4 linked regions of the Astyanax mexicanus genome follow. The protein of the gene in region 2 interacts with the protein of the main gene of each other region in a pairwise test. Links are inferred from orthologs where the notes say so. Each region holds a gene or a part of one and is shown on either strand. Other genes may lie near its edges. The genes, in order: kelch-like protein 12, segment polarity protein dishevelled homolog DVL-3, pitx1 and wt1a.

Evidence for each region.
Region 1: the proteins of segment polarity protein dishevelled homolog DVL-3 (region 2) and kelch-like protein 12 interact in binary tests that used the Homo sapiens proteins (3 or more experiments, as listed by UniProt). The two-hybrid records come from large-scale screens. The link is inferred for Astyanax mexicanus from reciprocal best matches to the Homo sapiens genes DVL3 and KLHL12.
Region 3: the proteins of segment polarity protein dishevelled homolog DVL-3 (region 2) and pitx1 interact in binary tests that used the Homo sapiens proteins (3 or more experiments, as listed by UniProt). The two-hybrid records come from large-scale screens. The link is inferred for Astyanax mexicanus from reciprocal best matches to the Homo sapiens genes DVL3 and PITX1.
Region 4: the proteins of segment polarity protein dishevelled homolog DVL-3 (region 2) and wt1a interact in binary tests that used the Homo sapiens proteins (3 or more experiments, as listed by UniProt). The link is inferred for Astyanax mexicanus from reciprocal best matches to the Homo sapiens genes DVL3 and WT1.

What each region holds. Positions count from the first base shown.
Region 1 is NC_064419.1:47,237,718-47,244,696, reverse strand, and holds the start of kelch-like protein 12, read left to right. Parts: upstream 1-3,956; 5' UTR 3,957-4,291; intron 4,292-6,719; 5' UTR 6,720-6,786; coding exon 6,787-6,969; intron 6,970-6,979. UniProt on the Homo sapiens protein: Substrate-specific adapter of a BCR (BTB-CUL3-RBX1) E3 ubiquitin ligase complex that acts as a negative regulator of Wnt signaling pathway and ER-Golgi transport.
Region 2 is NC_064416.1:4,791,653-4,798,759, forward strand, and holds the start of segment polarity protein dishevelled homolog DVL-3, read left to right. Parts: upstream 1-4,094; 5' UTR 4,095-4,428; coding exon 4,429-4,589; intron 4,590-7,107. UniProt on the Homo sapiens protein: Involved in the signal transduction pathway mediated by multiple Wnt genes.
Region 3 is NC_064424.1:34,451,507-34,458,454, forward strand, and holds the start of pitx1 (pituitary homeobox 1), read left to right. Parts: upstream 1-3,943; 5' UTR 3,944-4,153; intron 4,154-6,948. UniProt on the Homo sapiens protein: Sequence-specific transcription factor that binds gene promoters and activates their transcription. May play a role in the development of anterior structures, and in particular, the brain and facies and in specifying the identity or structure of hindlimb.
Region 4 is NC_064417.1:5,718,440-5,726,248, forward strand, and holds the start of wt1a (WT1 transcription factor a), read left to right. Parts: upstream 1-4,799; 5' UTR 4,800-5,663; coding exon 5,664-6,048; intron 6,049-7,809. UniProt on the Homo sapiens protein: Transcription factor that plays an important role in cellular development and cell survival. Recognizes and binds to the DNA sequence 5'-GCG(T/G)GGGCG-3'. Regulates the expression of numerous target genes, including EPO.

The sequences.
Region 1 (6,979 bases), on a different chromosome or scaffold from region 2:
CAGTATTTCAAAATACAGCGCTTTTAGCCGATGCTCCCAACAGGCTAATCCTGCGTTCACACTGGAAAGCGACAAAGCAACAGGTGCCTGTTCATTCCTATGATAGGGTGCGATTTCTTGCTGCGACACGTGAGAAGCAGCAGAGTGTCGAGCAAAACACAAGCGACAATTTCCTCAACTTTGAAGCGACATTCTAACCCGACTGGTTTTTAGCATTTCTTTGGAACTTTTGGTTCCTTTCGCATTTCTGCAGAATAAAGTGGCCAAGCGATTCCTCATATTTATACCATATTTTCCCTCCAAAATGTATATTTTTAAGTGCGACTAAAAATGACTGGATGGTTAGTGTTAGGTCTGTCACAATAATTACATTATCGATTTATCGTACATTAAATAGACATTACCTTAATAATATTTGATAATTGTGATATCGTCTATTGTGCTAATTTGTATGCTTGTTTACATATATAAAACTGTGAACAGAATTTTAGTCAATACTGCTTCAAAAACTGACCAATGTTTTAATAACTGTGACTTCACCCACACAGTGTGAACTGCAGTAAGAGAAGAAATAAGTATTATTCCCAAACTATGATTAATTTAAATTTTGTTGTCTTTAAAAGGGTATGATTGCTTTTTTCATTCCATTCTGTTATATTTATATCAGTGGCATTTAATGGTCTTAAAATGACAAATATCGTGTATCACAATAATTTCTGGGACGATATATTGTGCACAAAAAAATGTTATCGTGACAGGCCTGGTAAATGTTAAATATAAAAAAAACATTTAGCATGTTTTATTAAAATCAATTTATTTGTAACCATTTCAGTGATCTAACATTAGTTACCAAATACATATTTAATTCAAACACGCATTTAATAAATAATATTTTTTGTAGGGCCAATACAAAGCAGTTGTAAGCAATGCAATTTTTCTTTTTCTTTTTTTTTTTTTTTGGAAGCTGGACCATGATACATGCATGCACTGAGATTTAACACCCAAGGACAAACGCCTGCAAGGACAAACACGGGATGCGTTCTAGTGTAAATGCAAAGTTACAGTGCTAGTGATAGGGGCATAGCGTTACTCATGCAAATGCAAGAAATGGCTTTTTTGTTTTTATAGCATTAACAAACTCAAAGTAGCTTCACACTTCATTGGTAGAAATCTGAGGGCCCTGATATTTAAAACGAGGCACTGAGAGCTTTAAGAGTGCACAGATATTTGTTTAAAACACTGTTTATACACACAGTACCTTCATTTAGTTTATTAAAACAATTTTTGTACACTTTTTCTCGATCCAACGAATAAGTAGGATAGGGGAACAGATTGAAAAAATATATATTTTTGCGGAAATGCATGCATGAATTCCAGCAATTGCTAAAAATATATCTATATCATATTAATGGATTTCCACGGAAATTAGTTTTCCAATCCTGTTCCCCTATCCTTCCTATTCAATGGTTAACTCTATGCCCTTATCACTGGTACTGTAAGCATGTTGGGAGCATCAGCTAAAGCGCTGTATTTCTGAATGCAGGGGAAAAATGGAGATGGGCTATTCAACAAAAGTTCATACTCATTTTTATGTTTCACTACAACCCAAGTCCATTTCACACCAGATTTCTCCTTTTAAATGTTTGTGCACGGTTCAGAACGTCCATCGTAACAGACTCAGATTCATCTCAGAGTCATCCTGCACTGAGAGCTGAACAGCACTACCTCTCTCCTCCTCTACGCCGCCGGGTGATCACTCTCCGTGTCCTGGAGTGATACCTACAGGTTCTGGACTCTACGGACGTTTATGTCCCACTTCTTAGATGTTAAAGGGAATAGGAATAAGATGTGAATGTCTTTATCTGCTGTAAATGTTTTCTTGTGACCAATACACTTTGTGAACTGAAATTTCTTATATACATTTTTGGATGTTTGATGTTTTCCTGTACAATAATTTGGTCAAGATGTATCTCTTAAGCAAAAAAAAACAATTTGACCAAATAATTACAAATTGTGTTTTTTTCAAATGAAGAAATTACTATAAAGAAATGCTTAAAAACTGCCTTGGTAGCTAATAAGAAAAAAAAAAGAAAAAAAAAAAATCATTCCATGTATGTTTTCTGTGGCCAAGATGGCAATACTCCTGAATACACCTTATTTCCAGACCAACACGCCAAATACAGATACAGTTTCTCTGATTTTGCTATTTATAGGTTTATGTTTGAGTCAAATGAACATTGTTGTTTTATTCTATAAACTACAGACAACATTTCTCCCAAATTCCACATAAAAATCTTTTATAATTTAGAGCATTTATTTACAGAAAATGAGAAATGGCTGAAATAACAAAAAGATGCAGAGCTTTCAGACCTCAAATAACAAAGCAAAGAAAACAAGTTCAGATTCATAAAGTTTTAAGAGTTCAGAAATCAATATTTGGTGGAATAACCCTGGTTTTTCATGCATCTTGGCATCATGTTCTCCTCCACCAGTCTTACACACTGCTTTTGGATAACTTTATGCTGCTTTACTCCTGGTGCAAAAATTCAAGCAGTTCAGTTTGGTGGTTTGATGGCTTGTGATCATCCATCTTCCTCTTGATTATATTCCAGAGGTTTTCAATTTGGTAAAATCAAAGAAACTCATCATTTTTAAGTGGTATCTTTTTTTCCCAGAGCTGTATATTCAGAAGCTGGTGGTTGAACCAGAGTTGCAGACATGTTAAATCAGTTATGGGGACTATTGTTGTTCTGTTTTTAAAACATTTTCTAAATTTTATTATTATAATAATTACTGTGATATTGTGCAGCGATAGGCTGGACTAAAAGTTAAGCTTTACCTCTTTACGCTCAATACAGAGACCATATGATTATGAAATATTAAGAGAAAATATTATTATTAATAGTTGAACATGCAGCAACAAGCGTCTTCATAGTGAAGGTTAATATTCCTCTGTATGTGTAATAATGTGATAATAGGATTATCTAGTTTATCCACCAGAGGGCGCAAACGTAGACCAAGGTCTCATTGGCCAATCACTTTACATTATGTTATCAATTTATTCAGTGTAACGGTGTCAGTTAAGAAAACAATTTTTTTTTCATTTGCTAAAGTAAAAAATATTTTTGTTAGTTTCTATCAAACATCTGATGGGTTAATCTAATAGTCGAAATATATTTTTTATCTTCCCTGAAATTCAGATTTCATGAAAAACTACAATTTAGAAAAACAAAAGAAAATCCATTCAAGAGAAAGTCTTCCCTTCCCTCCCTGCTGAAACTGAGCTAAAGGCGAAAGCTGTTGCCATGTGGGTCAGCCAGACCATTTTCAACGAGTCTTGTGAAGGTGTAGGAAACAGTACTCACTGTTTCATCTGTATTTTCTCTTAAGAAAAGACTTCTAATTTTAATAGTTAAACAGTTAAAGTGTTTCTGTGTCTTTTGCTAGTTAGTTTCTAGCTTCGGAAATTGACATTTATTTTAAATCCATTTCCCAAAGCTCATTTTATTTTCTTGGATACTTACCAGCTGTAAGCTGCTAACCAATTCATTGTTACCATGTTACCACGATAAAAAAACACCCCTTTTTTAAACCATAATTTTATCAGAATTTTTTACAATATACAATTCTTTATTATTATTATTATTTTTTTTTTTTTTTTAACTGTTCCAGTTTTAAACGCTACTCCACCTACAGGATACGACGTAAAACAAGGAATTTTGCAGGATCCTAGGAACTATACTGAGTTATTATTATTATTATTATTATTATTATTATTATTATTATTATTATTATTATTATTATTATTATTATCATTATTATTATTATTATTATTATTATTATTATTATTATTATTATTATTATTATTATTATTATTATTATTATTATTATGGTGGGCGTTACCAGAGCCGCCGTCAGCACGTCAGGCGTGTACGTGATGGCGTATCAGTGTTTTGGTTGCCATCGTGTTGCTGAGGGACGTGAGAGCCCTGCATTAAAAACATACAGCCGGAGTAACTTCAGCTTTTAATTAACTAAATAACTTAAAAAACTCAAACCTCAGCGCGTTCAGCGAGAACTGGGGAATAATATATATATATGCTGCAGTATTCAGAGCTAGGGCGCCGGTTCCTGCCTTGTTTTAGTGGTTTTCTGAGCACCGGGCGGAGGTTGAGAGCGTGGCTGGAGTATGAAGCTCTGTGGGCGGCCGCTGCAGCGCTGACTAACCGCTTACAGCACACGGAGCCCCGGCTCGCCTGGTCTCACTCCTCCGCTGCTGCTGTTGCTGCCGGTACGTTTAACCAGGGTTTGGATTTTATTATATGTGCCTTTACATAACTTTTGGGAGCAAAAATACTTATTTTACTTTTAGATATTCAGAAAGGTGTTCAGTTTGTGTGGATATTAAGGTAAATTATCTACTGTTAGCTTTGGTGCTAACTGGATCCAGGTAAAAACTGTCTTGGCTCATTTAACGTTACATTGCCAGAAACAGTATTAGCATGTTAGCTTGCTAACCTAGCACTAATATAATAATAGATACTAATTTATACATAATACATAGTTTGGTTAGATATTTTAAGACATCTAGCTGTATTTAACGTTAGCTAACCTGAGCTAGCTAGCTTAGCTTAGTAAACACTATTTGCACCAGGTAGAGATAGGTTAGCTAGCGTTAGCTAACTAGCTAAGCTAAGCTAGGTAAAATAATACTCCTGTAACAGAAAGTCTTTTCTTTATTCCCCCACTTTAGTACCCAAGTAGAAGTAATAAAGTAGCTTTATCTTTTTAATCAAGATTGTGGATATAATATTCTTTTTCATATATTTGGGGGGAAAATACTTATTTTACTTTCATATATTCAGAAAGGTGTTCAGTTTGTGTAGATATTTAGGTGGAGTATCTACTGTTAACTGTAACTGGATCCAGGTAATACCTAGCTTAGTTTAGCTTAGCTTAGCTTAAATGACCAGAAACGGTGTTTAGCCAGTTAGCCTGTTAGCTTGCTAACCTAGCACAAATGCTACCTATCTCGCTAGTTAATGTTAGCTACTAAAGAGTGCCCATGTTCACCAGGAATTTCCGCAGGTTTAACTTTATAAAGGCAGTTTATAGTAATAAATAGTGACGTGGGTTGTTTTAAGATATCTAGCTGTATTAACTAACTTGGGCTAGCTAGCTTAGCTTAGTTAGCACTATTTGCACCAGGTAGAGATATGTAAGCTAACTAGCTAAGCTAAATTAGGTAAAATATTACTCATGTTACAGTAAAAGTCCTTTCTTTATTCCTTCACTTCAGTAAGTAAAAGTAAAAAAATAACTATTTACCTTCAAATGTAACTGGTAAAAGTACTATGATTTATTATATCTACTTCTAATGTAATGTAATTTTTTATCTAGGCTCTTGAAATAATGTGCTTTTTCACAACTTGTGTGAACAAACATGTTTGTTATTTTCATATATATTTAGAAAGGTTAGTTAGGTAGCTAGCTAATTTACACATTGCTATCTGCTCATGTTTTTAAGCAATATTTCAGCAAATTTAGCCACTGCTTTTCTGTTTTTATGATTTTTTTACATTGTAAATTTAATATTGAAGACTGTATTAAAGCTATACAGAAACACATGCTGAATTATTTAGTGTTAAATAGACCAGAATATGTTTTATATTTTAGATTCCTCTAAGTAGCACATTTATCTTTAAGGACATATCTGCACACTCTTGGTATTTTCTCAGTGTTTTCATGAGATTTGTGTCATTACTACAGTTTACTGTGAAGTTAACTAAATGTTTTTCATTGCAATGTTTTCCATTGTTTTCTGATGCATTCTTTTCTTTGTATTTATACAGTTGGCTTTTTACTTCTACTTCTTACATTTTTACACAATTATCTGAACTGTCTACTCCTTACATTTGATTTAAAAAAATGGAAAAAAATAAATCATTTTAGCTGGTTTTCATTCCGGCTTCTCATCGTTCAATAAAAACCCTATCCAGATAAATCTCTCCATCCAGATAGAGTGAATCTGATTGTGATTGGATGTAGAGAAGTATAAACATAAATCATTTCGACACCCTATTGGTTTATACTGTGATCTATCACAACTGCACACCATACGCCCCGCACACTCCAGCAAGAACATAGCAGACGTATGTAACCTAGTATGAAGATGATCCGTGCAGAGACTCGAGAGTACTCCAGATAAACTCCAGTCCAACTAAACTTCCTTTAATATATTTACATTCTACTAAAATACATACATTTACAATGGGGCATATATGCAGCTGAAACAGGGAACAGCGTAGAACATCACAAATTATATTATCAACATTTACATTTTAATATTTAAACATTTATAGTCATTATGGCTTTTAGAAAAATGTGTTTTGCTTTTGATATATTTGTACATACACACAGTCGTATCAGAATATTATGTCCAATGTTATTTATCATCACTGTCTATCTTATCAGCCTTACTGATAGGAGCACATATAGGAGCAGTTAGTACTGGTAGTATAGTGTACACAAAGTTAGAACTGTATTCAGAGAGCATTTAAAATCTACCTGTAGCCTTTTTAACTTTTAATTGCATATGTCTTTTTATGTTTGTTATAGAGGCACGTCTCAGTATGTGTTATTATTCTTACCATTAATCATGTGTGTGAGTGTATTTATTATCCTCAGAGCTCTTAGTCTGTGTTGTTTTGTGATCACAGACCCGAGTCGAGCTCCATCATCCTGCACTGCCTGTGGACGTGCCGCTCTCCCCCTTCGCCAGTTGCCATGGCGCCCAAAGACATCATGACCAACTCCCATGCCAAGTCCATCTTAAATGCCATGAACGCCTTGAGGAAGAGCAACACGCTGTGTGACATCACGCTGAGGGTGGAGAACACAGATTTCCCCGCCCACCGCATCGTCCTGGCCGCCTGCAGCGACTACTTCTGTGCCATGTTCACCAGTGAGGTAACCGCGA
Region 2 (7,107 bases):
AAGATAATTAAGGCGTGTGAATGAGATAATTAAGCTGTGGCCACAAATTACACATTATTTTTTTTTACATACAAAGTCACTTAAGGGACTGCATAATTTCGATTGTTCCTTTGAAGGAAGATGTAGCCCTACTAACATTTTACCCCACTTACCCCCAATAGCCTAACAAGAATTAAGACACCCTACCCCTAGGCATCCACACTCAAAACAGAGTAGAAGGGGGAAAATGGGATTGAGCCTTAAGTGTACATCCTTCTCTCAAATCAACTGATTCAGCTATTTAACCTAATTTACTTATTAACAAGTCTAATTTGAACTGAATGTGTAGCATTAGAGCAGGAAACCACTAAAACATGCAGATCAGAGGAGTTTGGTCCTCAGAGATCATGGTTTTGAATCACTGCTTTAAGCCATATTTGAATGTCATGATGTCAGTATTGTAGAAAAGCAAAAATCACCTATCGCTGTAAAGTACGTCATGTAAAAAGTATCTTCCTCGTCTTCCTGTTTGCATCTCTTTTTTTTCCCCATGCAAATGTATAATTTTTTTTAATTTATGGTTTTAAGGGCCTGTAGCATTTTTATTTTATATTTTAAATCGAATCTAATGTAGCACATACACATGTAGTGTTTAAAATGTAATCAAAAAGGTTGATGCATTGAATCTTTTGACATTTAAATGGTTAAAAAACACCTGATTTCAAATAATTGTCTTTAAGCTGTTACAAAAAACAAAAAAAAAACTATACATGAACACAAATAATGGGGCACCTGCTCATTCACAGTGTTTCGTCTGAAATCAAGGGTATTAAAAAGAGGTTATTCTAATTTTGTTGGAGTAACTGTTGGCGTTACCTTCATCAAAGGTAAGTATGTTTTATGATGTTTTACTACACCAAAAGTCTATTTTACACCATTCACAGTTCTCCGTTAATGTCCTTCTTTTTGAGCCATTCTTTTTTTGTTGTTGTTTTTTTTTGCCTTGGCTGTATGTTTTGGGTCATTGTCATGCTGGAAGACCCAGCCACAACCTAGTTTTAATTTCCTGGCTGAGTAAAGAAGGTTTGTTGCTCAGGATTTTACAGTACATGGCTCCATCAATTCTTCCATTGATTCAGTAAAGTACTTTTGTGCCTTTAGAAAAGAAACAAAAAACAACAAAAAAATATACATCAACACAAGAATACACCATAACACATCACCAAAACATAATGTTCCCACCTCCATGCTTGATAGTAGGGGCAGTGTTCTTTGGGTCATTCAAACACACAAGTTGAATTAATGCCAAAGAACACAATTTTTGGCTCATCTCACCACAGCATTTTCTCCCAATCACTTTTAGAATCATCCAGGTGTTCATTAGCAAACTTTCAACAGGCCTGCACTTGTGCCTTCTTGAGCAGGGGGATCATGCGGGCTCTGCAATATTTTAATACATTTGGGCGTAATGTGTTTCCAATGGTTTACTTGCTGACCACGGTCCCAGCTACCTTGAGATCATTAACAAGTTCCCTGCATGTAGTTTTAGGCTGATCTCTCACCTTCCTCATGATCAAGGATACCCAATGAGATTAGATTTTGCATAGAGCATCAGATTGATGTCGATTGACTGTCATTTTGTATTTATTTCATTTTCTTACTATTGCACCAACAGTTGTCTCCTTCTCACCCAGCACTTACTTAGGTATATAGGTTTAGTAGCCCATTCCAGCCTTGTGTAGGTCTGCGATCTTGTCCCTGAGAGCCATAGGAAGGTGTTTGGTGTTCCCCATGTTGTGGAAGTAAGAGTCTGATTGATTAATTGAGTCTGTGGACAGGAGTCTTTTATACAGTGGGTAAATTAAGACAGCTCTCTTTAATACTTGTAACAATTGATTAGGAGTTTCTAACTGGTCTGTAGGAGCCAGAACTTGATTGGTTGATAGGGGTAGATTTTATTTTTTATATTCTGTCTTTCACTCTTAAAATTTACCTACCCTTAAAATTATAGACAGTTCATGTCTTTTTCAAATGGGCAAACTCACAAAATCACTAATTACTTCAATGTAATTATGATGTTTTTGTTGTACACAGACTCCAGGGAAAAGTGTTATATATGGGCCCTTCAAAAGAAATAAGAATGAACTAAGCAGTCCTTCTAATTATGCCTATAATAATATAATTGCTCTTGCTATTCACTTCCACTGAATATGGATGACATTAGCCTGTTTCAGCCTGAAAAACATTACTTTTAGGCCTGTAGTAATAACATTGGTATTAACTGTTTACATACAAATAAATTTACTTCAGTATTTACCTGCCGCACCATGATCAGTGCATTAATAATAGCAACCCTCTGTTAATGTTGCTAATATTACTATTATATACTATTATCTATTATTAACTAAATGATTTTGTCTTTTGTAAGGGTGTTATTATATTATGTTAGTATTTATAACTATTGTTATGTTATATTTGCATTACTGCAATGGCATTAAATAGTGTCGTTTATTATTAAATTACAACAATAACATTAATTGCAATTACTTTTGGGATAACGCAGTATATCATCCAAGCCGTTTATCATTGTGACAGGCCTAATTTATTACCTTTTAAATGTCATGGAATGTGTGTGTGTGTGTGTAAGGAGGGTGGTGGTGGGGGTGCATACTAGAATATATAGTCGTGATCATCTGTAGCCCTAATGATCTCAGATAACTGGTTTCTTCCTTCCTTTTCTGAGAATAAAAGGGATCAAATGAATGTGTTCATTGTCTCATTGTTCTCTGAACTGAGAGCTGCAGGAAGATTGAAATACGTTTAAGCCACTAGATGGAGCCTCTTAATCAGTATTTTATTCAGGGACAGAAAAATCATTCAAAAGACCCAGTTTACAGACCCAGTTTACAGACCCAGTTCAGCTGCAGGTCCAGTGTTTCCAGTCCCGATTCAACACCTTTGTCTGTTTAATCAGTTCTTTATTATATCAGCTAGATCACAAGATACTGAATGTTTACTACTGCTACTAAAACAAGAGATATGGGTATGCAGCATGACTTATTATTGTACTGTAACAAACTGAATCTGGAATCTGGCCTCAGCCATCATAACAACTGCAAAATTAAAATACATGATAAATAAATGATGGATGGATTGATGGACAGATGGGATAGTCCGACACATAGAATAACTAGTAAACATATACTGTATATTGATAGATGGAAGGATTGTCGGATGGATAGAATAACTAGTAAACAGATACTGTGAATGTATGGATAGATGAAACAACTAGTAAACATTCTGTATCTTGATGGGTGGATGGATGGATAGACGGACAGATAGAACAACTAGTAAACAGATACTATTAATGGATGGATAGAACAACTGGTAAACAGATACTGAAGATGGATGGATGGATGGATGGATGGATGGATGGATGTATAAAATAACTAGTGAACAGACACTGTGGATGGAACAGCTAGTAAACATACTGTATCTGGATGAATGGACAGGTGAACAACTAGTAAACAGATACTATGGATGGATGGATGGATTGACAAAGATGGAGAGAACAACTAGTAAATAGATACTATGAATGGATGGACAGATAAAACAACTAGTAAACAGATACTGTGGATGGATGGACAAACGGACAGATGGAGAGATTAACTAGTAAAAATATACTGGGCATGGATGGATGGAACAACTAGTAAACAGATACTATGGATGGATGGACGGACCAATAGAATAACTAGTACAAATATACTGTGCGTGGATGGATGGATGGACAGACAGATGGATAGAACAACTAGTACCGATGCGATGGATGGATGGATGAACAGAAGGACGAACAAATAGAACAACTAGTAAACAGATACTATAGATAAATACATACGTGTATAATTAAATACTTAAGTACTTTGTTGATCTGAATTAAATATAAATAATTAGAGGAGTGAAAGTGTAAAGTGCTATAGATGATTGTATGTAGTCAGTATCAGTCTTTCTTCATTGTTAATGATTCTAATAGATGAGTTGAGGTGATTCATTGACAGTAGCTGCAGTACCGAGCTCGGCCTGTGGGCGCCGTAGTTTGACGGGGCTCCGCTCTCCAGCTGTTCGGAAGGGAAGGAGGAGAAAGCAGGGCCGCTCAGTCCGCCGTGGGGCTGCGGGGCAGCGGGGCTGCGAACTCCACACCGAGCCCGGGTTGGACATAAGGACCGAGGAGTACCGGAGAAAAGCGGCGCTTTAACCGCGTTTGGGGATCTATATTACCTGCTGTCGGTATTCCCGCCCGCGGAGGGTTACGGTTCACCGCTCTGCTTTACGGGTTAGGGTCCGGGAGCCTGAGCGGAGCGGAGCGGCGCGGAGACTGCAGCCGGAGAAGAGGCGCTGCTGGACGGACTCGGGGCTGGATGCGCCCGGCCTGCTCCTCCCCAGCGGCCCGCCATGGGGGAGACCAAGATCATCTACCACCTCGACGACCAGGAGACACCTTACCTGGTCAAACTCCCCATCCCGGCCGAGAGGGTCACCCTGGCCGACTTCAAACATGTCCTTAATAAGCCGAATTACAAATTCTTCTTCAAATCAATGGACGATGATTTCGGGTAAGGATCTAGTATATTCCATATTTCCATGTCTTCGAATTGTCCGGTCCACCTTAAAAATAGGGCAGCTTTTGTATTATGGCACTAGCAGCGGTAGGAACGCAACTGCTGAATCTGGCTCCTATATTTAAGGTGGAACGGAGAATTTTAAAAGAAGCTGTTGAATAAGATTGAACGTTATAACGAAAACCTCATTTGCTTTTTTTGGAACCTTATAAAGCATTTTAAGACTACACATTCTACAAATCCTTATTTCTACTTTATAATTGTTCTTAAAATCCATTTAAGAAGCTGTTGAATAAGATAGGGTGTTATTAACAAAACCTAATGTGCTGTGTGTCATACATTACTTTCTGAACCTTATAAAGCCTTATAAGACTATACTTTCTATAAATCCTAATTTCATTTTAATAACTGTTCTTAAATTCTATTGAAGAAGCTGTTGAAAAAGACGCTGAACTGATATTTTTTGGCTTTTATTTTCTAGACTTTGTAAAGTATTTTAAGACAATACATTGTAATTTAAAGTTTGAAAAGTTACTAAATTCCTGTGTTAATGGATACAATTAGATTATATCTTAACATATAGGTTGCAGCTTTAACAAATCACCCCACCTTTCCTCTAGCATAGTTCCATGGCTTCTAATTGCCCGGTCCACCTTAAAAACAGGGCAGCTTTTGTATTATGGCACTAGCAGCGGTAAAGCGCAACTACTGGAGTTCGCTCCTGTATTTAAGGTGGAATGGACAATTCGAAAATAAAACTGTTGATTGAGCTTTTTTTGCTATGTGTCATAACTACATTATTTTCTGGACTTTGTAATCTGTTTTAAGACCATACATCGTAATTTATACTATAAAAATCTTAAATTCCAGTGTTAAATAGGTACAATCAGATTATATTTAATTTATAGCTTGCTATCCCTTCACCCATCACCCCTTCTTTCCTTCAGCATATTCCATATTTCCATTCCTGTCGAATTGTTTGATCCACCTTAAACAGGGCAGCTTTTGTATTATGGCACTCGCTGCTGCTTAAGTTTGGATCCTTTATTTAAGGTGGAACGGACAATTCGAAAAGAAGCTGTTGAATAAGATGCTGAAGTGAGCTTTTCTTAGGAAAACCTCATTTGCTGTGTCACACATGACTTTTTCAACCTTTTGGACGACTTTTAAAACTATAAATCCTATAAAAATACATGAAATTAATACATATATAACATTTACTTTATAACATTTCCTACATTTCAGTGTTTAATGTATAAAATCAGATTATAGCTAAATTATAGCTTGCTATCCCTTTACAAATCATCACATATTTCCTCTGAGCATAGTATATTCTCATATATACAAACACCCTTTCTTTATATTTACACATGCCCTAACAGTTAAATATGGCATTTCAATCATTTCATCATTTCATATTAGCTGGAAATAATAATAATAATAATAATAATAAATCATACTGTACTTGAACACTCATTTTTATAGCATCAATTTTAGAAATAGAGAAATATAGGCAGGATGGCTTGAGCAGAGGTTTTATAGCTATAATTTGATTTAACTGTTTTTTTCCTTTGGTTTTATTGTTATGGCAAGGAAGAGCAGGAGATGACCCCTGGGACAAGACAAGGGGAGTTGCTTCCATTGTGAGCAGATGGTCAGACAGGTGTAGGAAGGTACATTTTGAGAGGAAGGAGAAGCAGGAAAGCAATAGTCTGTTCTTTTGTATTTTTTTACATTGTAAATTTAATATTAAAGACATTACAGAATACTAAACTGCATTCTGTAAGGAATTGTGTTCCCGTACAGCTTTACACCAAAAAGAAATAGAAATTCATTATAGACAGGAGGCAGAAAATCCAACAGTCCCCCAGCCTGAGCTCTACACTCTTAAACCTCATCAGCTTCTCTGAGTTATTAAAAGCTTATTACACAAACTACAGGGGAATTCACCAGTTCTGCTGCATTTCTGTGTTATTTAATAGTATTTAAAGATGTGAACTGACTCATTCAGAGTGGATTTGGTATGAAAGCTTGAGTTCTACAGAAGCGTATTATTTAATCTAAAGAGTTTTTACAAAAGTTATTACACTGAATAGTTTTTAATACATTCTGACACTGCTTTAAAGAACGATTATAGTATGTTTACAACCACAAGATGAGTCTTTCCACATGTGGTTTAATACATGAGAAGCTACTCCCTGCATCAGCTAGATTTAAATAACTTGTTGCCAGCGGAAACAATAATAAACCCATGCAGTAATTATTAACCAATGGGAGATTCTTGGACTGGGTATCTTTTCAAAACTTTTGATACTGATACAGATACCCAAAATATACTTTTTTACTTTTTTTAATACCTTTATGTAAATTGTAACAAAAAAATTATTCCCACACAACGTATTTATTTAACAGCTGACTCAAGTAATCTCATTATCATACTTGAATCTTGTTTGAGCTTGGGAGATAGAGAGGAAGAGACAGCGCAAGAGTCAGTGTGCGAAAGGAAGAGACA
Region 3 (6,948 bases), on a different chromosome or scaffold from region 2:
CTGTTGTGTCTGTTAGCATCACAGTCCAACTCTGTTAGCATTGCAACTAACCTGCTCCAAACTTTCATGCTTTCATATATCAAGATAATGTTAGATAACTTGATGCACAAAAGGTTGGAGGCCTTTATTAGTGCAGTAATGTTTCAATGTTCATGTTTCATCGTACACTCTGCCATCTTGCATACACAGTGCTGTATGTGGGCGGTCACTGTCTGGTCTCTTGGGGAGGGGCTAGGTTTCCAGAGAACATAGAGACACACACAGTGGGAGAGGCTTCATTCCGTTCTTAGGACAGCTTCACTCCACTACATTTTAAATAAAAATGTTGCTATATTAATATTTAAAAAGTCAGATTTTGTACTTTTAACATAGCAGAAGCCGTGTAGATGACTTCTCACCATTATCTGTTCTTACAAAAAAACACATTCTGTTTGACATACGTCGTCCCACACACACATATTCATTCTGACTCCAGTAAAGTGTGTGTGGTGTTTGACTGTCGGGTGTTGACCATAAACGGCGGGCTGGGGAGGATCCGCCCCGATGTTAATGATGACCCTGTTACCTCTACACTTATCTCCTGAGGCATTAGTCAACATTAGTCTAACTCTAAGTGGTTAATTATAGCTGGCCAAAATAAGTCAGTCATGGTTGTGTTACAGTCTATAACACAAATTCCACAGTTATTGATTCACCTTTTAAACCCAGTGTATAATTATGCAAATATATAAATAAAAAAAATAAAATGATACAACACAGGCTTGATACAACTTATGAAGTCATGCTCCAGTCCATAGTGAAACACAAGGCACCCTAAGGAGATGCTTGGCCAGATAGATCTTATATATTTGAAACGTTTATCACTTTTTCTTTCTCCCAAAAAAAAAACAAATCACTAGACATCCATCATCCTACAGTTTTGCCACTATCAGGGCCATAATAAATAATGGATTTATTTGCTGGATGAGGAACTCGCAGTTGAAACCAAGTTGCTGTCCGCAAAAGTACTGAGCAGTGACTAAAGGGTTCAACTACAACCCCAATCTTGATCACAGCTTTAATCCCAAAATTGCCAACTTTAACACAAACTTCAACTCAATTTCCAACTTCAACCCTGATTCTAGTTGTAACCCCAACTCCAGCCACAAACATAGTCCTATACCCAATCCCATCTTTGGTCCCAGCACTAATGCCAAATCCAACCCAGTCCTAATCCCATTCCCAAATCCCAACTCCAGCTCCAATCCTAATCATAAATTTATCCAGCTCTAATTCCTACCCTATGCCTTTCCTCATACTAATTTAGGCCTAGCTGCAATCTGCTAACTACAATCCCAATCTCATCCTTAATGCTAACTTTAATCCCAGTATTAGTCCACACCTTAATTCCATTTGCCATACCCACCCTTACCCCAGCTCTAATTTTTTATTTTTCCATTCTATTACATGCAGGTTTTAATCTTCCCCAATTCAAATCCAACCCCAAACCTAATTCCACTCCTAATCCCAATTTTTCACAGCTCAAAAACCATACCCCATCTCACCTGTAAATATGTTCCCATCTCTAACATCTAACCCCAATCACAAACCCTCTAACACAGTACCAACTCCAGTCCTGAACTGAACTCCAATACCAGTCCAAACCCGAACTCCCAGCCCAGCTCCAAACAAACCCTACTGTATCTGACTTACAGAACCCTGTGTGTGTATCTGTGGTTCTGCGCTGTTCGTGTAGCAGAAGAAGTGGGTCACAGCGCGTTTAGAATATACACATGAGGGTGTTTAAATTTAAGTTTGACTGCAGATTGATCGGAACCCTTCAGCCGCTCATGTCCGTAGCCGCGCTGTGGTTTATAATAATGCTGGAAAATTAACCGATCAGACGATCACGGCAACTGTCACTAAAAACTGCCATAACAGGGTAGACTTCAAACTAAAACAGGTAACATTAATAAAATACTTTTCATATTTATAAATTAAAATAGTGATAAAATATAAATCTATATGTAACACTTTATAAAGTAACTAAAGGTTTAAACAATATTTAACTACACAGTGTAAATATTTAACAGTAAACAGTTATTATACGGCACAAAAAACATTTGTAGATCCTATTTATTTTCAAGAGTATAATTTAACAGTAAACCCTGCATTTAAAGTTCAATCATATAAAGCAATAATAATAATAATAATAATAATAATAATAATAATAATAATAATAATAATAATAATAATAATAATAATAATAATACACTAGTATCCCCATCATAAATAAGAAACAAGAAACTCTAAATACATCACATTAGTACATAAAACAAATTGAATTCATACAATAATATCAACTATTTCAAACAGAAAATAATAATGATTAAAATAATAGGAAAGTGCCCTGCGGGATAATGTAAAGTTATCTGTATAGTTAGGGAGGTGTAATAGGAATGTCTGTAGATTTAAGGAAGGGTAGGAGGGGGTTGCTGTTTATTGGCTTCTTCTTAATCCCGCTATTAAGCGCGAGCTTCTTAAAGGGGCTGATTGGATTTAAGATCAGTATCAAACACTGTGCTCATAACATACAGCCCTATCCGACCATGACCACCCCCCCACCACTAACCAATAATAATAATAACAATAATAATAATAATAATAATAATAATAATAATAATAATAATAATAATAATAATAATAATAATAATAATAGCTGTTCCGTTGGGAATAAATGTGCTCAGTATGTTTATTATTTAAGATGAATCTGTCTTTATTATGGTGTGTGTTATAAGATTGATATTGGTTTAAAATTCAGCTTCGTGTTTTAGAACAGCGCGCGCGGCTGCGAATTTAGCTCTACAACAGTATTAAATATAAATAAATGAAATATAAAAATGCTTGATTAATATGTATTAATAAGAACTGAACCGTAACTAAACAATTTTAAATGAAATTGTATTAACATGTATTTAAACGGACTAGGAAAGAATTTCTACTTTACAGTCCCTCTGTTCTGAGGCACTCCAGTTTTATCAGTTTGAATACAGCCTACTCAAAACGGAGCGAAATGTCTACATCACCCCCCCTCAGCACCACCAGCTATAGGCTTAGTTCATCTAGAATCCCACATAAACGCCAACCCTAACATTAACATCAACACTAGCGCCATCAATTAACATTAACTTGCAAAACCAAAATCTGCACTAGCTCCACCTATAAAATCAAACCAACACCAACAGACCACCAAAGCAAACCCTAACATCAACAATAGCTTTATCAAAATTAACACCAGCATCTAAAAAACACATTTAACATTAAAACTAACATCAAATCCAACACTAACACCATCTATAAAATACCAGAGCAATATCATTTATAGTAACATAAATAGCCAATACAATACGCTACCATTAACCATAATATTATCAACGTATTATTCAAATGTTAACCATAAGCACAAATTTTAGCACCAAACCAGCATCAGCTTCAACACCAAAGCCAAAACTAACACCATGTATATAGCTTCAATACTAAAACCAACAGAATAAACAATTTTATAAAAAGCCAATGCACTCAACTTTCAACACTTAAACCACCAACATGCTACCACCACATCCAAAACCAATAGTGATGCCATCATCACTTAAACGTCAGTCTCAACCCAGATATTAATCAGATCTTCTTAAGTCTACTCTTGGGCTATACAGCATTTTAATTTAGATTTCTATAAAATAAAAATATAACCTACGACTTGAGCTTAATTCCTGTCTGGGAAACAGACCCTTAAAGTTTCCCTCAGCCACAAACCTAAACTCTAGTACCTAAACCCTAAGACATACACCCTAAACACCAACCCCTAGACCCTAACTATCTCTCCGCACTGGTTGCTCGGGACAGCTTTCCTTTCCGCTCAGACGCAGGAGTGACGTCACGTGCACGCTGGAGTAGCCGCTTAGAGAAAAGCCCAGAGAGGCGCGCGCAGCAACCAAAGCGAACAGAACGCGTGCGCTGCGGGAGATTTACACATCTATACACACATAACACACCGGCTTTTCACAGCATCACACACACGCACCTTATACATACACTTCTGCACTTTCCGGAGCTCTTAGCGCGTGCGGAAGCGCGAGCTGCATGGGGACAGTCTAACCGGCGGAAGGATCGCGCGGTGAGTGACTTCTGCTTTTTTCCGCGTTTCACGAGCCTTAACCAGAGCAGGGCACGAACTCCAGTCTGTACAGCGCGATGTGTTCGGTGTCTGTGTGTGTGATTATGTTTTGGCACCCTCGCTGTGGAATAGCTTGTCTTTTTTCAGAACCGATTTTACCTGCTGTTGCTGTTCCCTGCGCTGTCCTAAAATTGCGCGAGCTCGATAATAATTCATGCTAAAATTAATTGCAAAACCGACTGATTTGCATCAAATGAAAACAACAGAATTACATAAGGAGATATTTGTACACATTCTGGCAAGGGCGTGCATGGGTGTTCATGAGTGTTTGTGTGTTTTATAGCGAGCCACATACTGGAGCTTTATTAGCCTCATAAAAGAACGCGGCTCTGCAGATACAGATAAACGTGAAGATTCCTTGAGCAGGTTTTTTGTTTTCGATGCTTTTAATTTTCTTGCAAATATGCACACAAAATATTACACCCCAAATGGTGTTCTTCTATGGTATCGCTGAAAAATCTTTTGTAACATCTTTTTCAAACAGCAATAACAAAGGAAACCAATTCAAACAGCAATAACAAAATCAAGCACAAGAAAAAAACATGCAAAAAAGTTTATTGTATAATTCAAACTATATTTAAATAAAAAAAACTTCAATATTTCAATATTTCATTAAATACATATAAACATATATAGTATCGTTGACAGAACAATTTTATCAGCTTTATTTGAATTATGTTAGGAATTTAATTTAAATAGCAATTTAAATACCACTAACAAAATCGCGCGTGAGAAAGAAGTGTGCAAAAATAGATCCGCGAGGCTTCGGTGGTGCAGCATTGATGGTAGTTCAAAGTGAGTGTAGAGAGGTGTGTGTTCAGGAGTGTGTGTGACAGTACTGGTAAAAGCCTTTATTCATTTATCTCGTTTTGTCAGAGAGCTTGCTTTGAGAATGAGCAGCAGGCCACAAGTAGTGAAGCTGCATGTGCGCGCGTTTCTAGACTAAAATGAGTTGAATATAAAAGTTCAAATAATAAGCAAAGAATAAAAACAGCAGATTAAAAGGGCTTAGGTACTGGGGATTCTTTTTTAACGCCATCGTAGCTTTCTGGCGAAGAGTATGACATACAGAAGTGTTTACATTTTTTAAAAAGTGGATGCAAATATATATATTTTTTATCTCTTTTTCATTGGACACGTCTTTTTTTAAATTAAATGTTCTTTATTTATGAAAGAACCCTGTGTAGCACCTTTTTGTTTGTAAGAGTGTGTGCCACAGTAAACCAATACCACCAAAGTAAACATAACCTAAACACAGAGAAGCATTTTTAAAAGCTAAAAACTTACCTAAAAACAGCACACATCACTGCTACAAAGGTGAAAACACTGTGGAAAGTGTAAATCGATATAAAGTGGTGCTGAAGCGAGCGTAGCTAAAGTTGGTACTGAATCAAAAATCTAAAAAACTCGGACAGTTCTCAAACTCTCGGAGATTTTTTATTAAAAATGAAACGCTAAACTAATTATACTCTTGAAAATAAAGGATCTACAAATGGTTATTTGTGCCTTAGAATTACTTATAATAACTCTACAATCCTGTAGAGGAACTTCCGTATGCTTAGTTCTTATTTCATCTTTCTAATACTAACTATACATTAATTCTATATGTAACATAGTCATTTGTTTAATTGAACAGTGGTTATCCAAGTGTTCGATTCAAATGACAAAATAATAATAATAATAATAATAATAATAATAATAATAATAATAATAATAATAATAATAATAATAATAATAAAGGCCTGAAGGTGTGTTTAAATCTTAGATTTTCAAACGTAAAATCGTGAAAAAGTATATAGTAAGAAATATCCCATAAGAAAAGTTTCAAATATACTAAATAATAATAATAATAATAATAATAATAATAATAATAATAATAATAATAATAATAATAACAATAATAATAAAATTGTCAGGAAGGATTAAATTGTGTTTGACTCTATTAAATACAGTGATACATCACTGGTTTTATTTAAAGAGCCCTTCAGCTGATCTATACACACTCAAACAGCACTCAGACACGGCAGGGTGAAGGTGAGGCTCATGATGAAGGTTCTGGGGGGGAGCTGGAGTTGGGGTTTTGGATTAGGTTATGGTTGAGAGCACGGTCTATCATACTGCCGTTATCAAATATTAGAATGTACACAATAAAATACAACTATTCCACACGGTTGAAAGGACTGCTTCTGGTCCTACCGGTCAGCAGTCCAGACTAAATGGTGGTGTTTTGCGGTAAAAGAGCTGTAGTTCAGACACACTCTCTCTCTCTATCTCTCTTTCTCTCTCTCTCTCTCTCTCTCTCTCTCTCTCTCTTTCTCTCTCTCTCTCTCTCTCTCTCTCTCTCTCTCTCTCTCTCACACACAGACACACACACACTCTAGTTATGTAGTGTCTCTCTTTCAGTGCAGTGTTGCCGCTCCGGTTTATAATTCAGTGCGGTTATAAAACACCAGCCCAAACACGGCGTTAAGCTAAAGCCTGTTGACTAAGGCCTAAAAGTCTGTGGTAGTACGGGAACTAAACCTATATATAAATCAAGTTTAACGTTTAAGTTAAATTATTAAAAACGAATTGATTTTATCAAATCTATCATGCACTTAATTGAGCGGTTTTCCAGACAGGCATTTAGTCTATTCTAGGACGAAACAGCATTTTGAATAGAGATTTCCTTTAAAAGGAAAATGCAGTCTACGACTATGCCTAATCCTTGGAAAGTGCCCCTAAATGTAAAATGC
Region 4 (7,809 bases), on a different chromosome or scaffold from region 2:
AAAACTATGAAAGCTAACCACTTCCACTCAATATTGCTTTGGAACTCTGCCTTGTTGTATTGCAAGGCCTGCTCCAGGACTTTATTCCAGCCTCTTCAGTTTGATGGGAAGATAAAGAGCATTGACACAGTGACTTCTGCCGACATGACAGGCTTTTTTTCTTGCTGCTCTTCCACGGGTTGAAGAGTTGAGTCCCAGGTCAGCAGCTTTCAGCAGAACTCTAGACTAGAATTCCAGATGGTGAAGTAAGAGCACATCTCAACTCATCAATTTAACAAGCTCTGCTGCCTCTGCTTATCCATGTCCTACTCCTAGGCCAACACTTCCGGCTGCAGCCGAGGCCTGAGCGCCGGACAAATTGAGATGTATCTCGGTTAACTGGTTACAGGATGGTCACAGTGTGCAAAATGATGGCAGGCTAAAGTCATGTCAAGTCAGAGTATGCTTTATGACTTTATTTTTCCAGCATCATTTTTTTTTTTGCAAGAACGGAAGAATGAATAGAAAGTGCAAGTTTAAGTTGAAGCAGCAATACATTTATTTTCTTGATCATCCAACAACAATGATTGTTGAAAGCATGAAGAGTGCAATGTCCCTCAAAAGAGAAACTAATATGGTGTGTAGCTCCACAAACCCCTGTATGTTTCAGTGACAAAACAGAAAATTTTCCTTCTTTAAATTGTCTTTCCATCTCCAGTATCTTATTCCAACAGTTACTTTTCTGGTTGCTTATATTGGCACATATTTAATGTTTTTAAAACGATATTCTGCTATATCATAAGAAGGTGGGATAACACCCAGGAATTAAGTGATTGACAACCTTGGCTGGAACAGACCAGACGTCTGCAGGACCTGCGTCACGCCCTTTCCGTTCATTACATGGAGAAGCTGACTTGTAATAAAACTTTCCTGAACTGCGCTTTCACTATTAAAATATAACACTTCATGGAGAAACTGGAAATTTAGAGGAAATACACATTTTTCTTCTGCGCCGTAGGTTCAGTGAAGGTAGTCCGAGACATGCATGATCTGGCAACATTGCAGACAATTTTGGCTTAAATTATATAGACCAGGGGTGCGTTTCCCAAAACGTTCTTAACGCTAAGTACTTCGTAACTTCGTACTTACGAACAATCTTAAAATTACGAGCGTTTCCCGAAAGCCTTCGTAACTAACGTAGTACTTAAACTCGTTCGTAACTTTACGAGTGGTCTGACCCACTCGTAAATAACTAAGTTCTTCTTAACGTGGAATCCACGTGCAGTTCTGACTCAAAAACGAAAGAGGCCGCTTTTGATCCTTAAAAAAATGCATTTAAAGATGCATTCAGCATACGTATTTATAAAAAAATAAACAATAAAAAAAAGACTAAATTCCAGACTATTTAAATTAATTTATTAACCTGCGCATATTTATTCATAGTATTTGGGTTTATTATATGGTTGAAATAATCGTATTCACGTGAAGAAAAAGTTACAATTACCTACAAATATAATTTTTATTCACACATATCACACACATATGGATTAAATTAACGGTTTTCCCCAGTCTGACAGTCGTAGTAGTAAACAAATAAGTAAATATATTTTATTTGGCTTTTTATATCATACAAAATTATACCTTTGTGGCTTAATAATGAAGAACTGTATATAAATCGGTGGTCTAGTTTTCATCTGGCTTTGCCTTAAACCTCACAGACACGGGGGCGGAGCCACCAAAGTGCTACTTAAAGGTCCTTCGTAAGTATGGAGACTTAAGAGTGGCTTCTGGAAACAGTCGGAAAAATGGCGTTCTTAAAGTTAAGTCGTTCTTAAAGTTGTTCTTAAATCCCTAAGAACAATCGCTATCGGGAAACGCACCCCAGATAAGAATGGACCCAAGGCATCTCTGTGTTCTACAGTCATTTGATCAAAACACTTGTTATGAAAAGGAGTGGCTTCTCATGTTTTCTCCAAATTTCTGGCAAGAGCTACCCTCTGTGATATGAAGTAACACTGTCTTGTCCGGCCTTCACTGACAATGTTTGTGTATAAGGCTAACTGTTGCTATGAGAGCGAAATGGCTGGCAAGACTAGAAGCAGTGAAGATAACCTTTAAAGTCATCATACATCAAACGAGAAGAAACACTCAAGGACACCAATTTCTGGCTCCTGTGATTAAGCTCAAAAACTCAGGGCCTGTGTCCAGGACCTTCTCTGTTGAGCTGTATGTGTTTTCAGATCATGCCGTGTAAGAAAGATCAGATGTGTACCACTTTTTTGTGGTAAAAATATCATAAATAAATGATAATGATGAATAAATAAACAGATAAATGACTTTCTGGAATAAAAAAAGCCTATTTTACCTCTCAGATGGGATGCATATAAGGTACACGTTTAATTTTTTTAGAGCAATGCTTTCAGCAATTTTACAATGGCATGTGCATATATAAACTTACATGCACATAAATGGGCCATTACAGAATTGCATGCATAAGATGATTTGACTCATCAGTCAAATCTGTTAATGTTAAATAAATTAAATTACTTAAACTGTTAAAAAATAACATGGTTGACCGTAACAGTAACAGACATTTTACATTGTTTTTTGTTGTAACTTCCATGTGCTAACACTGAATTTATATTACACTCTATTTTTTTTTTCGCTTTTTCAAAGCCTCATTGCTTTACATCAATTGAGAGATTCTCTCAATATTGCAATAACATTATGCTGTAATATTATACTTAATATAATAATATTCTAATAATATTATATATATATACTTTTATTATAATAATAACATACTTTTGGTGTATCCTCAAAATTGTATACAAAATAATAAGAGAAAAAAATGGTCAGACTCACTGCCTGCCACATTTTTCTCGCCAGAAAAAGAGACATCACTAGGTGTAGGTCACAAGTTTTTATAAGCACTGTTTTCAGGAAGAAAAAAATGACATTTTAATTGTTAAAACAGTGTAGTAAAAATAGATATTCTATGCAATTGATTACATAACTTTATAACTTTACAACTGCGAAAGTCAAAAATGATTTCAAACATTTATATATAAATGTATATAATTAGTCGTACAGATCCGAAACAATTATATATAAATACAAAAAAAGTGTTAGTGTTTATATTATTAAACCTTGATTCATTAATTTATTGATTGATTGTTTTATTGATTGGTTTGTCTCTATGTGCTTGTAGCCAGGCTATGACTGTGTTTGTATCTCCAGGCTTCAGCTGTACCCTTAAAGTGAGGACAGGTCCAGGAGGTCCAGTCATTTACTCCCTTTCAGACAGTAAGCCAGAGGTGAAGGAGGAGTGGAGCCCAGGCGGAGGGAGTGGAGGGAGGACAGTGATCCTCTCTTCACACTCTGTGGAGAGCTGAAATTGAATTTTCTTCCTCTTTTTCTTCTTGCTTATAGAAATGATGCCACTGTCCTATCTGAACAGAATTACCATTTAAATATGTCTTCAGTAATCACACTGCTGTAAAATGTAAAACAGACTAATTTGCAGGAGCACACACACAGGGCCTGTTTGTGAGGTAAGCATACACTCTTGACCAGTCCGAGCCACTGTCCTGCAGTTTTGAATGTTTTATTACAGAAAGCTGTTTTCTCTGGTCCCCTGTAGAAGATAAATGTGCTCAGCTCTGCAGTTATGCTTTCCATCTCGATTTGAATATTACCTGATTATCCGCAGCAGAGGTCATCCAGCAGTGACCACCTGCGCGCGGCTGTGATCTCTGTCATTTTCTGTGGAGAGGAGAAACTCCTCACTTTTATCTAAACACGGTTATTTCCACCGGGTCCAGCCCACATCCATCTTCCACAATCCGACAGTTATTTTTTCCCTCTCTGTTTTAAATAGAGAGAAAAAAATAAACTCCATCAGAAATGGTGTGTGTGTGTGTGTTTGTGTATATGCGTGCGCGCGCGCGCGGGGTGACTTCACCCTTTTTAATTTACTGGAGGTGCGCGCTTCGGCTGCGTGTCGTCTCTGTCGCACAAAAACGTGTCTATTTGACATCTATTTATGTCGTGTTTCATTTTTCGATATGATGTAAATGTTTTCTTTACATTGTGTAATAATGTCACGATAAATGTAGACAAACAGAAATACTCTAGTACATACATAATCGAATCTTTACTTTTCCTACAAATGTGTCTTTTTACGTGTTACGTGTAAAAAAATAAAATCATAAGAATTAAAATAAAAACGAATCAAGTATAGTATATATATTTTTTTACATTGACATACTGTCTGTCATTCTCTTCGGCTGGGAAATGCGCTTACATTTTAGGGAACTTTGGGCACGTTTATAAGTCCATATTTAATTTAAATCCATATTTAACTTATGTAATTGATGGTTGTAATAAAAAAACGGATTTTAAAACATTAATATTAGTAATAGTACAAAGGTCAGTTGTTATTATTATTATTATTATTATTATTATTATTATTATTATTATTTCCGTCGCCTCTAGCTGTTGGTATTATATTTTAGTAAGCTCCGAAACGAATAATTTAATTATTACCTGGTTGATGTCGACATTTTAAATTATTTTTAGAGATCATTATTATTTCCTTTGAACGAATAGAAACTAATACCCCACTTAAACCATTAAATTACTGCCACGGCAGATTAATTTAGATTTTAATTGGGAAGAGAGATTAGACTAAAATAGGATATATTTATATTTTAAAGGTTAACAAAAGAACAAAAATATAATAATAATAAAAACTGATCGGGTTATTTAAAAGCCGAATTAAATATTCCTATGTTTCATATTCCTATAGCGCCTTTTTTTTAACGGCAAATGCATTACGTTGTATTAAAACGATCATTCCGATGTTCCGACTTAATTATTTATGTAGCCCTCGTGATCTAAGTCGCGCGCGATTAGAGAAAAAGGCATTCTTGTTAATCTTTATTTTTTTATTAATGCTATATACCTCAGAAAATATTTAGCAGCGAGAGACGTTTTAAAGATATTTATCCTGTTGTTATTAGTAGAGAAACTGTCTTCCAGTCATGGGGACACAGCTGTAAAAATATAGAAAATAATATGAATAACTTCATCCACTCAAACCCAGTCATCTGAATGCACACACTGGGGGCCCTGTGAGATGCGCGGGATAAAGGTAGGTTATATAGTATTTACTGAAGTAAATGAATGAAGCCTCCTCAGTCTGTATTTAGCCCCTCCTCCTGGCTCCTCTGTCTGTGCTTCTATTTGAGCCTTCTGGCCTCCAAAGAAAACAGACACACGGTGAAGGAGCTATTCCTCTCCTCCTCCTCCTCCTCCTACTCCTCCACCTCCTCCTCCTCTCTCCTTCTCTCTCGCTCTCTGTCTCTCTTACTTCATTCAGAGATCTCTCCCTGGCTGGGACATCCCACGAAGGAGCCTGGGTACTGTCAGCTTCTTTCTTCTTTCTTTCTAAGTATCTCGTCCTTTTTTTTTTTTTTTTTTTGCTTCGGACTCTTAATGCATGAAGTTCCTGGTGTTTCTGCTGCTGCCTAACATCTTAAAAACTCAAGTATGCGGCTTTTCTGGACTTGACTTTTGACTCTGTCCTGGATTTGCAAGAAATTTGAAATCAGCTTCCAGGAGATTGCAAGACTTCTCTTTCCACCTTGGACCCGGTCGCCCAGGTGAGCAAGACGTCGGGCATGGGTTCGGACGTCCGTGACCTCAACACCCTCCTGTCCCCTGTCCCGGCTCTGCCCGCAGGGAATGGGAACTGCCCGCTGCCCGTCAGCAGTGCCCCTCAATGGGCTCCTGTGCTGGACTTTCACACTGGCCCACCTTACAGCCACTCCTTTATCAAGCAGGAGCCCAGCTGGGGCTCAGCAGACCCCCACGAGGACCCTCACTGTGGCCTCAGCGCCTTCACCGTCCACTTCTCTGGCCAGTTTACAGGCACAGGGGCCTGCAGGTACGGGGCCTTCGGGACACCTGCAGCCAACCAGCCTCCGGCCAGTCAGCCCAGAATGTTCAGCAATGGCCCGTACCTGTCCAACTGTATGGATGGTCAGGCCAGCTCCAGGAACCAGGGTAAGACCATCTCTTGATACTCAATACCTGTTTTTAGTCAAAGCCTTTTCTAGAGATGAGAACAGGGATGTTACTGAATTAACTAGGGTTCTTCAGGCCTTCTTGTACAGCTATTCAGCAAAGTTGTGAAGAAGGTATAATATAATGTGTTATTCCTTTTTAAACACATGCTATGCAATACAATGCACATTAATCATTAGACTTGACAAAAAAAACTGTCCTATTCTTCTATTATCATGCGAATATTCTTTGTATGTTTGATAATCCTCAACAAGCACAAAACAGACAAATTCAACTTTCTGTATGAATTTTAAATGTTTAAACCAAAAGAAATACAAAACTACAAGATATTATAGTGATATTTATTTAAATACTACTCTGTAATAAATCATAATTAACAAAGTTTGTATTAATTTGTATTATTGTTATCAAGTGTATTGAGCAAAAAGCATTAACAGAAGTTTGAACAATACAAGTTGAGTGAAGGAAGTGAAGGAAACATTTGGAGGAAATGTGGTAGCAAGTTTTTAGTTGTTGTTTTTGCACAAGATATATATTATTTATAGTATATATTCTAGTTGGATTCATTATTAAATGAACATTGTTCAATTTTATTATCACAATAGTGTTAAATCAATTTGGAAAAAGGTCAGTATTTAATAAATGTGCCTAAATGTAATATTTAAGCATATATTATGTGCTAAACATACATTGGTTACCGGAATCCGTTTCGATTGCTGTGTTTGACACAATGTCATATACAATCATATACGATATGTTTGTGCACTTTTTCTTCATCTTTAGATATTTGTCAGTAAAATCACTTTATAAAGAATAAAACATTTTTTAATACAATTTTAAATTTGATTTACAACTATTTGGAGTTGCTTAAATTCCTTTGCTGGAAGTTAGAACCAGGCATCCTATATTTTACTCAATATTCCAACTCCTCTTGCATCAGATCTCCATCACGTCTTGCAGAAATGTGAGGCATGCGAGTGATTAATGTTTAACTTTATTTAAGACCATCAAGCGTGTTGCTTTTGGTCACGGGGAGTGTTGATAAAAGTTTGGGAGTGCAGTGAGAAAAACTGCAGGTTTTTCCACCTACAGTGATGGATCATACTTAGGAAAAAAGCTCTGCTGCTTTGAGCAAATAGTATTAGAAAAATGATTAAATCCCACATGCGTGATCCTTAAGCAGCACACACTCAATTTGTACAGTTCAGGCACTTGAAGTCAACACCTGCCATTTAAAATAAAATGTAAGCACATCTGAAGAAGAAGAAAAAGCATTTAGACTAACAAATTTAACAGCCTTTCAGTGCATTTAAATTGAATGCTTTTGAAATTGCTTTGAATTTCTTTTAATTGATAAGAACATATGACTTAAAGACATTTAATTTAATTCACCACCAAAATATATTTTATAGATTATTTTTTGTATCTTTAGTGCTATGGTTTGGCACAGTATGTAAAGTAATGGGTCCAAATAAAGTCCAACTTAAAACACTGCACTGTAAAAAAACAAGACGGCAAAATATATTTATTACAATATACACACTCTATAAATGAATAATCAATAAATAAGTAAGAACATGCTTTTTTTTTTGCTCAAAAACATTTAAAATATGTATCTTTAATAATAAGCCAGATAAACGTATCAGGTAATGATCCAAAGCCTTATTAGTTGAGCAGTCTATACTCATAATGAGGTACATGTTTAACTTAATGGCGTAAATAAATGTTGGAGATTTTTTC